Linked DNA regions of Neurospora crassa OR74A. The protein of the gene in region 1 purifies or fractionates together with the protein of each later gene. This does not show direct contact. Links are inferred from orthologs where the notes say so. Each region holds a gene or a part of one and is shown on either strand. Other genes may lie near its edges. The genes, in order: rho-1 and rdi-1.

The links.
Region 2: the proteins of rho-1 (region 1) and rdi-1 purify together in Saccharomyces cerevisiae (affinity purification with western blotting; 3 studies listed by BioGRID, with this or other methods). This does not show direct contact. The link is inferred for Neurospora crassa OR74A from reciprocal best matches to the Saccharomyces cerevisiae genes RHO1 and RDI1.

Annotation. Positions count from the first base shown.
Region 1 is NC_026502.1:3,340,751-3,345,225, forward strand, and holds rho-1 (rho-type GTPase), read left to right. Parts: upstream 1-1,449; 5' UTR 1,450-1,911; coding exon 1,912-1,982; intron 1,983-2,118; coding exon 2,119-2,146; intron 2,147-2,410; coding exon 2,411-2,608; intron 2,609-2,679; coding exon 2,680-2,814; intron 2,815-2,915; coding exon 2,916-3,071; 3' UTR 3,072-3,950; downstream 3,951-4,475. UniProt on the Saccharomyces cerevisiae protein: Acts as a central regulator in the cell wall integrity signaling pathway, which is regulated by the cell cycle and in response to various types of cell wall stress.
Region 2 is NC_026504.1:1,633,371-1,637,643, forward strand, and holds rdi-1 (rho-gdp dissociation inhibitor), read left to right. Parts: upstream 1-1,459; 5' UTR 1,460-1,822; coding exon 1,823-1,919; intron 1,920-2,493; coding exon 2,494-2,871; intron 2,872-2,993; coding exon 2,994-3,124; 3' UTR 3,125-3,789; downstream 3,790-4,273. Other genes in the region: serine/threonine-protein phosphatase PP2A catalytic subunit, read right to left, coding at 3,989-4,273. UniProt on the Saccharomyces cerevisiae protein: Regulates the GDP/GTP exchange reaction of the Rho proteins by inhibiting the dissociation of GDP from them, and the subsequent binding of GTP to them.

The DNA.
Region 1 (4,475 bases):
GGGGGTGGTAGGACTTGTAATTTGGCATCTAACACCGTGGCTGACTGACTGACTGACTGTTGACGGCTGACGGATGACGGGTGGCAGCTGACGCTTCCTTCTCCAGCCTCCCTCTCTCCTATCCCGTTTCGTCATCCACCAAGTCAACAAGCTCACGTCAATGCCATGGCAACCGAGATGTTCGCAATTCAAGAGACTGGTCTGCTATCTAGATGCGGCTGGGCACCGACACTTTGCTGACCGCTCCGTCTCTTGGTATATACTGTGTAGTGTATCGACAGCCGAGAGGAAATGGGGTATAGTGTGGTGTACATACTGCGTATGCCAACAAGACAGGAGCTTCCATGTTTTTAATATCATGTCCCGTCCTTCCTCCCACCCCATCCCCTTCCTCCATGTTCACTACTAGACTGTCAAGAGAGTCCTGGACCCTGATAATGGATGGCTGAGAACAAAGCCCAGAGCTATCAGCAAATTACTACCTATGTAGTGTACACTAGGGACACCCAAAATAGGCGACCGGAAGGAAGAGGCCCATGGCGCACTGTGCCTGTTCCTGTACCTTTTGGCGTTGGTTCAGGGGTTCTGGGCAGGCAGTCTGGAGATTAGCAGTTATCGCCGCCGCCCACTGGACCATCTTTGCTGCTGGAGACTCGCCTCGCCTGCCTTCGCTCGCTCGCAAAGCTTCCACTTCCTCTGAGTACACTACTAAAATCCTGGGGGGCCACGGCAGCAGCGCGTGCTTTCCCCCTTTGATCGACAGCCAGCCGAGCCAGCGCAGCGTGTCGGGTGTCGGATTACTGCGGTATGGATGTCTAAAAGTGGTTCGAGTGGTAATTTGGCCCGTCCCCACCGTGCACTTTTGCGCTTGTCATCAAAGTTGAAGAAACAAAAAAAAAAAAAAAGGTCGAGAGTCATGTTCGGGAGATGGCCTTATTAGCCTTATGCAGCAAGTCCGGGGTAGCGAAAAAGGGGAACAGGAAGGAACATGACGACGACGATTTCAAGGTCGGTCCACTATTAATATCACCAAAATCAGCTCTCTTTTCGCGTGCAAATAGCTGAATTACGGTAATGGAGGTGACGGTGTTAATTGTAGAAGAGGACCGGTACGTACCGCTTGCTGAGGATTCGGGCCACTCACAAGTCACATCAAGCCAGCACCTCCCTTGTCTGGCCCTTTGCTCTTGGCTCGTCTCGCACCCCTACCGGCTCCTGTACAAGTGATGGGGTATTCCGACACAAAATGCAGTATCTAGGTAGGGACCTAGTGTGTTGGATGAAAAATTAGGTCGGTAGGTGTCGTCTGCCTTCCTCTTACCACACAGTACCTGTAGCCTCCAGGCTGCGACTGCTGCCAGATGGGACTGTGTGAACCCGACTGAGTGACTGCCTGTGCCTGGACAGCCCGCCCGTTCCCTGGGGCTTCTCTGGGGCTACCCACTGCCTCGCTCACCTCACCACACACGGCAGCACCCACTGCCCTCCCAGCCCAGTCTGACTGCCCGGCCCTGGTTCGCTGGCTAAGGTTTCCACCCTCTTCCAACCTTGCCCGTGGGAGTCCTGCACCTGGCTATCTGGTGGTCCCCCCGTCCCCGTTCCCCGTCTCCGTCTCCGTCACAACACAACTCACAACTTGAACAGGTTAGCACACCACCAGCGGCCACTACCTACCTACCTACCACCACCACCGTCCATCCTTCAACAACCACCCAACACCCCCATCTCCATTTTCCTTCCCTTTTCCATTTTGCATCTTTTATCGACCAAATCCAGGCCGCGTGATACCCTCTCCCGTCCTTTGCATACAACCCGTCGACAACGAACAAAGCACCGTCCGTCGACATCACTCAACTCAACTAAACAACTTAATCTCTCCTCCCCTATTCACACAACCACCAAACCGACGCCATGTCTGCTGAACTCCGCCGAAAGCTCGTCATCGTTGGCGATGGTGCCTGCGGCAAGACCTGTTTGTTGATGTATGTCCATTTCCCCTATCCACATCCAAGAGATTGATGCTGCTCTTATAAGGCGCGCGTCGTCGTCGTTGTCGTCGTCGTCGTCGTCACCGCCGCTCTCCCCCCATCACAACCTTTTTGCTAACCGAATTTCCAGCGTCTTCTCCAAGGGAACCTTCCCCGAGGTAAGTCAGGCACTTGTCTGTCGGGACTGAGACGTCCATCTACACACCTGCCCTCGACCGTCTGTTCGCTACACCGCCCCAACCGCCTGACGAAACACGCATCTTCCTGCCAATTCCCGCGTCTCGCCTCCCCCCCCGAACAGGCTACATCCATCTCCTCAGCCCGATGAACCATCAAGCCATCAAATTCGAAACACCCGCCCTGTCGCCATCATATCCGCATCCGAATAAGCGCTGCTCAGCCAGCTAACTCTCTGCGCCCAGGTCTACGTCCCTACCGTTTTCGAGAACTACGTCGCCGATGTCGAGGTTGATGGCAGACACGTCGAGCTCGCGCTATGGGATACGGCTGGTCAGGAGGATTATGACCGTCTCCGTCCCCTGTCCTACCCCGACTCTCACGTCGTCTTGATCTGCTTCGCCATCGACTCTCCCGATTCGCTCGACAACGTTTCCGAGAAGGTCAGTATCCCGCCTGCTTACTTGGCGCGCCCTTGTCTTTGAGGCTACAATTCGCTAACAATCAAAAACAGTGGCACTCTGAGGTTCTTCACTTCTGCCGTGACGTTCCAATCATCCTCGTTGGCTGCAAGAAGGATTTGCGCCACGACCCCAAGACCATTGAGGAGCTCCGCAAGACCAGCCAGAAGCCCGTTTCCCCCGAAGAGGTACGTGAGGCTGAGACATTGGCGGCTGATGATGCCCCTTTTGTTTCCAAGTGCTTTCCCTCCGCTTGCTCGGGAATGTATGCTAACGCGCTCATCAACAGGGTGAGGCTCTGAGGAAGAGGATCAACGCCCACAAGTACCTCGAGTGCTCGGCCAAGACCAACGAGGGTGTCCGTGAGGTGTTCGAGAACGCGACAAGAGCCGCCCTTCTCAAGAAGACAAAGACGAAGAGGGGCCTCTGCAAGAGCTCGGTCTAAACAAACCCACAGCTCTTTAGAGAGATGCTTTTATTTCTACCGCACGACGAACAACATCATCTGCACCAAGCCCTCCCCGGATAGCCTCGCAACATGTAATCAAGCAACGGTTTTCAAAGCGAAAGATGATCATCACCTTAGTTGATAATTCTCTGCCCATGACGCCGTCAATGCTGCTACCGAGCGGATAATATTTCACAGAGAGAAGAAGAAAGGGGTGTGGAGAGCGCAAATGGGGAGGGGCTTGGGATTTCGGGGATACTTATGGGCCTTACTACTCGATATTTAGGGAGGATAACTGGGTCTGGACTCCTTTCCACTATTTCTGTGTGTGTGTGTGGTCGGCGTGGACGGGTGCGTGGCTTGTGTTCATGTATACACAAACGGAGGACACCTGAGGGCGGTAAAGGGAAAGAGAAAGACTGGAGAAAGGAGTTTTGCGGTTCAATATTTCTTGTTTCTTCTGGAATCACATGCCGCGTCTCTGGCCCCCCTTACCTGTCTCCTTTATTTCTCTTTCTCTGTCACTGCCCGTGTGCGTCTGTCTCTTATCTCTCTCTCTGTGTCTACCTGTCTGTTATTAATCTCTAGTTTTATCGCGTTCTTGTTTATCTGTCTCCGTCTGCTGCTGCCGCTGCATGGTTCAAATTGGGATTTTGAGATTGAATGTTCCGTATAGTTTGGGCGATCGGCATGGCGAGGCCGCCGAATGTCCCTGCTACTTCCATAGACCGTTGACGACAATTGCTGTTACCTACTGTACATCCTCAGACCATTCATTGCCCGTCCCCTCTTGCAATACTCATGTCAACCACTGACACGAGCACAGACTTCTTCTACGTCAGTCAGCCCGTTTGTCTACTTAGTCTTTGAATCCGAAGTTCAGTAATCATCACGCTTTGCCGACTATGCAATCCGACGGGAGAGGCCGCCGCCAGCTCCAGACCCAAACGTGAAACAGTTGATTGAATGAAGGACGTCATGTCTATCAAGGGTAAACCTAGTTAATGTTCCCGAGTCATCACACTCAGCGCGTGAGGTATGCCAGAAAGGCATGATTGGTCTTGACAGCCAACGAAGCTAACACTTGCAAGTAAGCTATGATGTGCCATACATTATACACTTTGCATCTCGAACACTCTCTGGGACTTCTTCATCATAGCCAACAGAGGGGGGAAAGAAGCGGTAAACATAACACTTTCAAAAGAATATATATAAATATATATACGCTCCCCGCTGTCAATTCCTTTCAGTTCTTCAGTTCCTTGATAACCTACTCGACGCAGGAGGTAAATATTCATTCAGGTATCTAGCTCTAGCTCTGGGTAGGAGGCAAGGTAAGGTTTGGTACCTCTAGTCAAGTCAACCAACCAACCAACCAACCAACCGAACGACGTAGACAAA
Region 2 (4,273 bases), on another chromosome or scaffold:
CTCGACGACGCATCCTTTTGCAGGAGTAGCGGCGGGCGGTGCAGCAGAACAGAAAGCGGAGAGACAGGGTCCTCCACGGATGCAATGTGAGCAATGTTCCACACGCAGTGAGACTCTCTTCACGTCTCTGCTGCAGATGATGTCTTGTGGTGTTTGGAGCACCCAAGGGACACAATCAACATCCGGCGGCGAATGGATGTCAACGAAGTTGACACAAGGCCTCCTGATAAGATACCATACGGGTCTGCTGGACTGACGCTGGCCTTGACCGACGTGAGCGAGTGGGGAGGGGAATGGCACACCAACAACTGAAGTCAAAGACTGGCCACATTTGGTGATGCATAGGTAGGTACGCACACAGAACTGTCTGTCAACCCGTCATCCCGTCCCAGGAACCCGTCAACCCGTCAATCTGGGGTAGCCAAGACCTCTACACCACCAGAACCATCATGCTCACCAGCGATCACCAAGCAGAGCAGAGGCGTCCTCAAGCGTTTCACACCGGGATGCTTCAACGGCTTGTCTCATGTTGGATCAAGCTCCATTCCGTGCTAACAGTTGTAAGACAACCGGCAGAGAACGGGTCTCAGCCGCTGAGGAGAAGTAAACGAACGACGAAAAGGCTGAAGGGCGGTGATATCGCGCTCTTCCCAGCTAGCCGAAGGTACCTATAAATCAAAATAACCGGAAGGCTGGCCGTTCCGTGATCTGACATGCCGGGACTCAACGGTGAAGAGAGCCCCCCCAGTATCTCGAGCGGACGGGTCCCTGGCGGGGAAAGAAGGAGCGGTGAACGACCCAAAAAAAGGCCCCCAATGATCGGAATCGGCCCTCTCAGGTCTTGGCACCATCGCTCACCACCATCGCTACACTCTCTCCAAGCTCTGAACCCCTTTTTTCCTTTCCTCTCCAGGGGCGGTGACAACAGAGACACTTGTTGTTCACATCGCCAGTTTCGTGCAACCACTCGACTTGTCCAAGTCCATCAGATCACCGCCGTAGCTTGAACACTAGAGGTAATCCACTAGGCAGCTCCCTATTGCCATGTACTGTACGTAGGTAGGTAGGTACCTCTACCAGAGTCTCGAGGCTCGAGGAGAGAAGTAGGTGAGCTACCTACTACAAGGCCCGTATAATTCACAGCATCAACGGGCAAGGCACGCAGTCAAGAGGCACAGAAGATGGAAGGAAACATCAACAGCCAGCAGCCCAATGGATGAGGGGGATTCCAGACTTGATATGTTCTGCACGCGGGAACCAGGGAGGACAGGTTCGAGGTCGACGGCGTTCCAGATGGCCCATGTTTATCCAATGATGGGCCCGTCTTGGTGTTGCTCTCGCGTCGAGACCCCCAACCGCCAGATGCAGCTCCCCCTTGGCCCCACCAGCTGTAAGAGCTGTGGCCAAAGAGAAGACATCCTGAAAGAGTGCCGAGCCCCTCCATCCAGAATTGCTGCCAGTCAGTTCCATCGCCGTCTCTCTTCAGTTGACTCTGGGCTCAGCCGCTCTCCATTGTGAGTGGTTCCTGGCGACTCGCAGTGAACGTGGGTGGACAATCTGGAACTGTGTGGGTGTCGGTTGGGAGTGCACAGTGCTCCCGTCGCCCAAATAAATAAGCTCCGGCCTCGCTTTGTCCCGTCACCCCTCCAAAACCTTCCATCAGATCGGCGCCGTAAATACCATCATAGCTTCCGTCGTCGTCGACTTCTTCTCTTCTCCCGTCCTGTCTTTCTTGACTCTTCATTGCAACTTTGTATCCTCCATATCCCGACGGATTTTCATCATCTATTTTAATCAACAACCACTACCCCAATAATTCACAATGGCCGGCGGACACGACGAAGATCTGATGCCCGAGGACAACTCGGGCTACAAGCTCTCTCAGCCCAAGCAGTCCTTGGCTGAGTACCACAAGATGGGTATGTTCCAACCTTTGTCTTTACTGTTTGTTTTCTTTTCAGCATCGCATGCGTCTTATTTCACCCGTATTTTCTCTGCGGCATCGTGCGGATCGTGGGACTTTTTTGGAAAAAGGGGGAACTGCGGGTGCGGTGACGACATGATGGTGACCCCTTTCACCGCCCATGCTTCACGGCGCAAAGGACTATGGCAACGCCTCACAACATCGCAACTTTCCATGCCAAAACTTTGGCAAGATCACGACCACTCTAAGCGCAAAGTAAAGCTTGCGTGGGTTTCCCGTGGCAGAAACCTACCTCTGCAATTGTTGACTTGGCGGTCAAGTTAAGCCAAAGGTCGTCGCAGACGTTCACAACTTTCAACAGGGCATGCCCCTGGTTTGAAGATGAGGGGCGCGAGAGCTATCGCGACATAGCCCATCTTAGCAGACCCGAAGACCACAGCACCGTCATTCACACAACACTCAACCGCATTCAACCACACACACACACACATATATATATATCATGATGCCAAAGAAAAGAGGTACCATTCATGAAAAGAAGAGCCACCATGACTAACCCTTCCCCCTAGACGAGAACGACGAGTCCCTCAAGCGCTACAAGGAGTCCCTCGGCCTCGGCGGCGGCAACGACCTGTCCGACCCCAACGACCCGCGCGTGTGCATCATCCACTCGCTCTCCATGGAGTCTCCCGGCCGGGAGCCCGTCGTGATCGACCTGTCTACGCCCGGGTCGCTGGAGGACCTCAAGAAGAAGCCCTTCACCATCAAGGAGGGTGCCAAGTTCACCATGAAGGCCCAGTTCAAGGTGCAGCACGAAATTTTGAGCGGCTTGCACTACGTCCAGACGGTCAAGCGCGGCAAGATCAGGATCCCCGGTGGCAAGACGAGCGAGATGATTGGCAGTTATGCGCCCAACACGGATAAGAATCCCATGTACACCAAGACTTGTGAGTTCTTTTTTCTTCTTCCTCTCCTTCTTTGTGACAGAAATCCTGCTGTCCGTTTGTTTGTCCTTGTGAATGGGAATAGGGGGCGGAAATTTGCTGACCGAGTTTACGAAACGATTTAGTCGCCGAGGAGGAGGCCCCCACTGGCATGCTCGCCCGTGGCAACTACAACGCCGTCTCTCGCTTCGTCGACGACGATGGCAAGACCCATCTCGAGTTCGAGTGGAGCTTCGATATTGCCAAGGACTGGTAAACTACTTTCGGGTTTAGATCGCCGTCATCGTCGTCGTCTAGTTTCTCGCCCTATAAGCTAGCCGGTCACTCAGTCCAGCTAGTCAGCCGCATCGGATACACACACACATACACTTCGCTGTTGGCATACTGTGACGAACTGCTGTGCCCTCGGTTGATTTCGTGGGCAAAGAGGGATGCGCCATTCGCGAACGAGGAGCGAACTCGATAGAGGATGAAGATGGAATTAATCATGCTGAGTGGGGAAAGAAGACTAAACACGCGCTTCCTCCCTGTTTCGAAGATCACGAAACAGGGAGAAAGATACACTACACTACCGGAACTCGACAAGGGAAAGGAAGGTAGAAACACACCGACGTCTGTTTCACCTTATCTAGGTATGGGACTGGAAAGGCAAGCGAACGGAACGGAACGGAATCTGGGCCACAGGATGGTTTGGTCGTTTAGGGTATACGCCCCCCTTTCCGGGCAGGAGGGAAGGGGAAGAGGAGAAAACTTCCTTACATTTATCTACATACATACACATCATCTTATCTTAGTAGTATAAACACACATAACTCTCACATACGCAATTCAGGTCTTGCGGTTTCTCTTATCTGCTATGAAGAAGATCGGGAGGGCTTACTTGTTAGTAGAGGAGAAGAAAAAAAAAAAACTGTCCCGAGTACCTCTATCATTCATGCCTGCTTCTAATCTATGACATTGCGGTCGCTAGCGTGGGTATATGCAGTGTATTCACACTCTTTGGTGCGAACAAGTTCAAGCCAAGACCATCCGCAACGCTCATGCTCTCTGTTCCCGTCCTCTATCCCCATTCGCCCCGAGTGCGCACCATGTAGGGGGGTTTCCCGTCTCTCGCCGACTATTACAAAAAGTAATCCGGCAATGCGCCCCCCTCCGCCGACTTGTCCTGATTCATCTGCTGATCCTTAACGGCGTCGTTCTCAGGAGCGGCCGCAAACACATTGAAGAAGCGCTCTCCAGTATCGCTGACCTCCAAGACACTTGCCATGTTTCCGCACCGGTAGCAGTAGTTGGGCGCGCTCCATACCGTGCTCAGCCGGTCGTCGTATAGCACCTGATACCCTTCCTGACAGAGCTGGTGCGCGCGCAGAATGTGGTTCATGTTGTTCACCGCCAGGAACTTCTT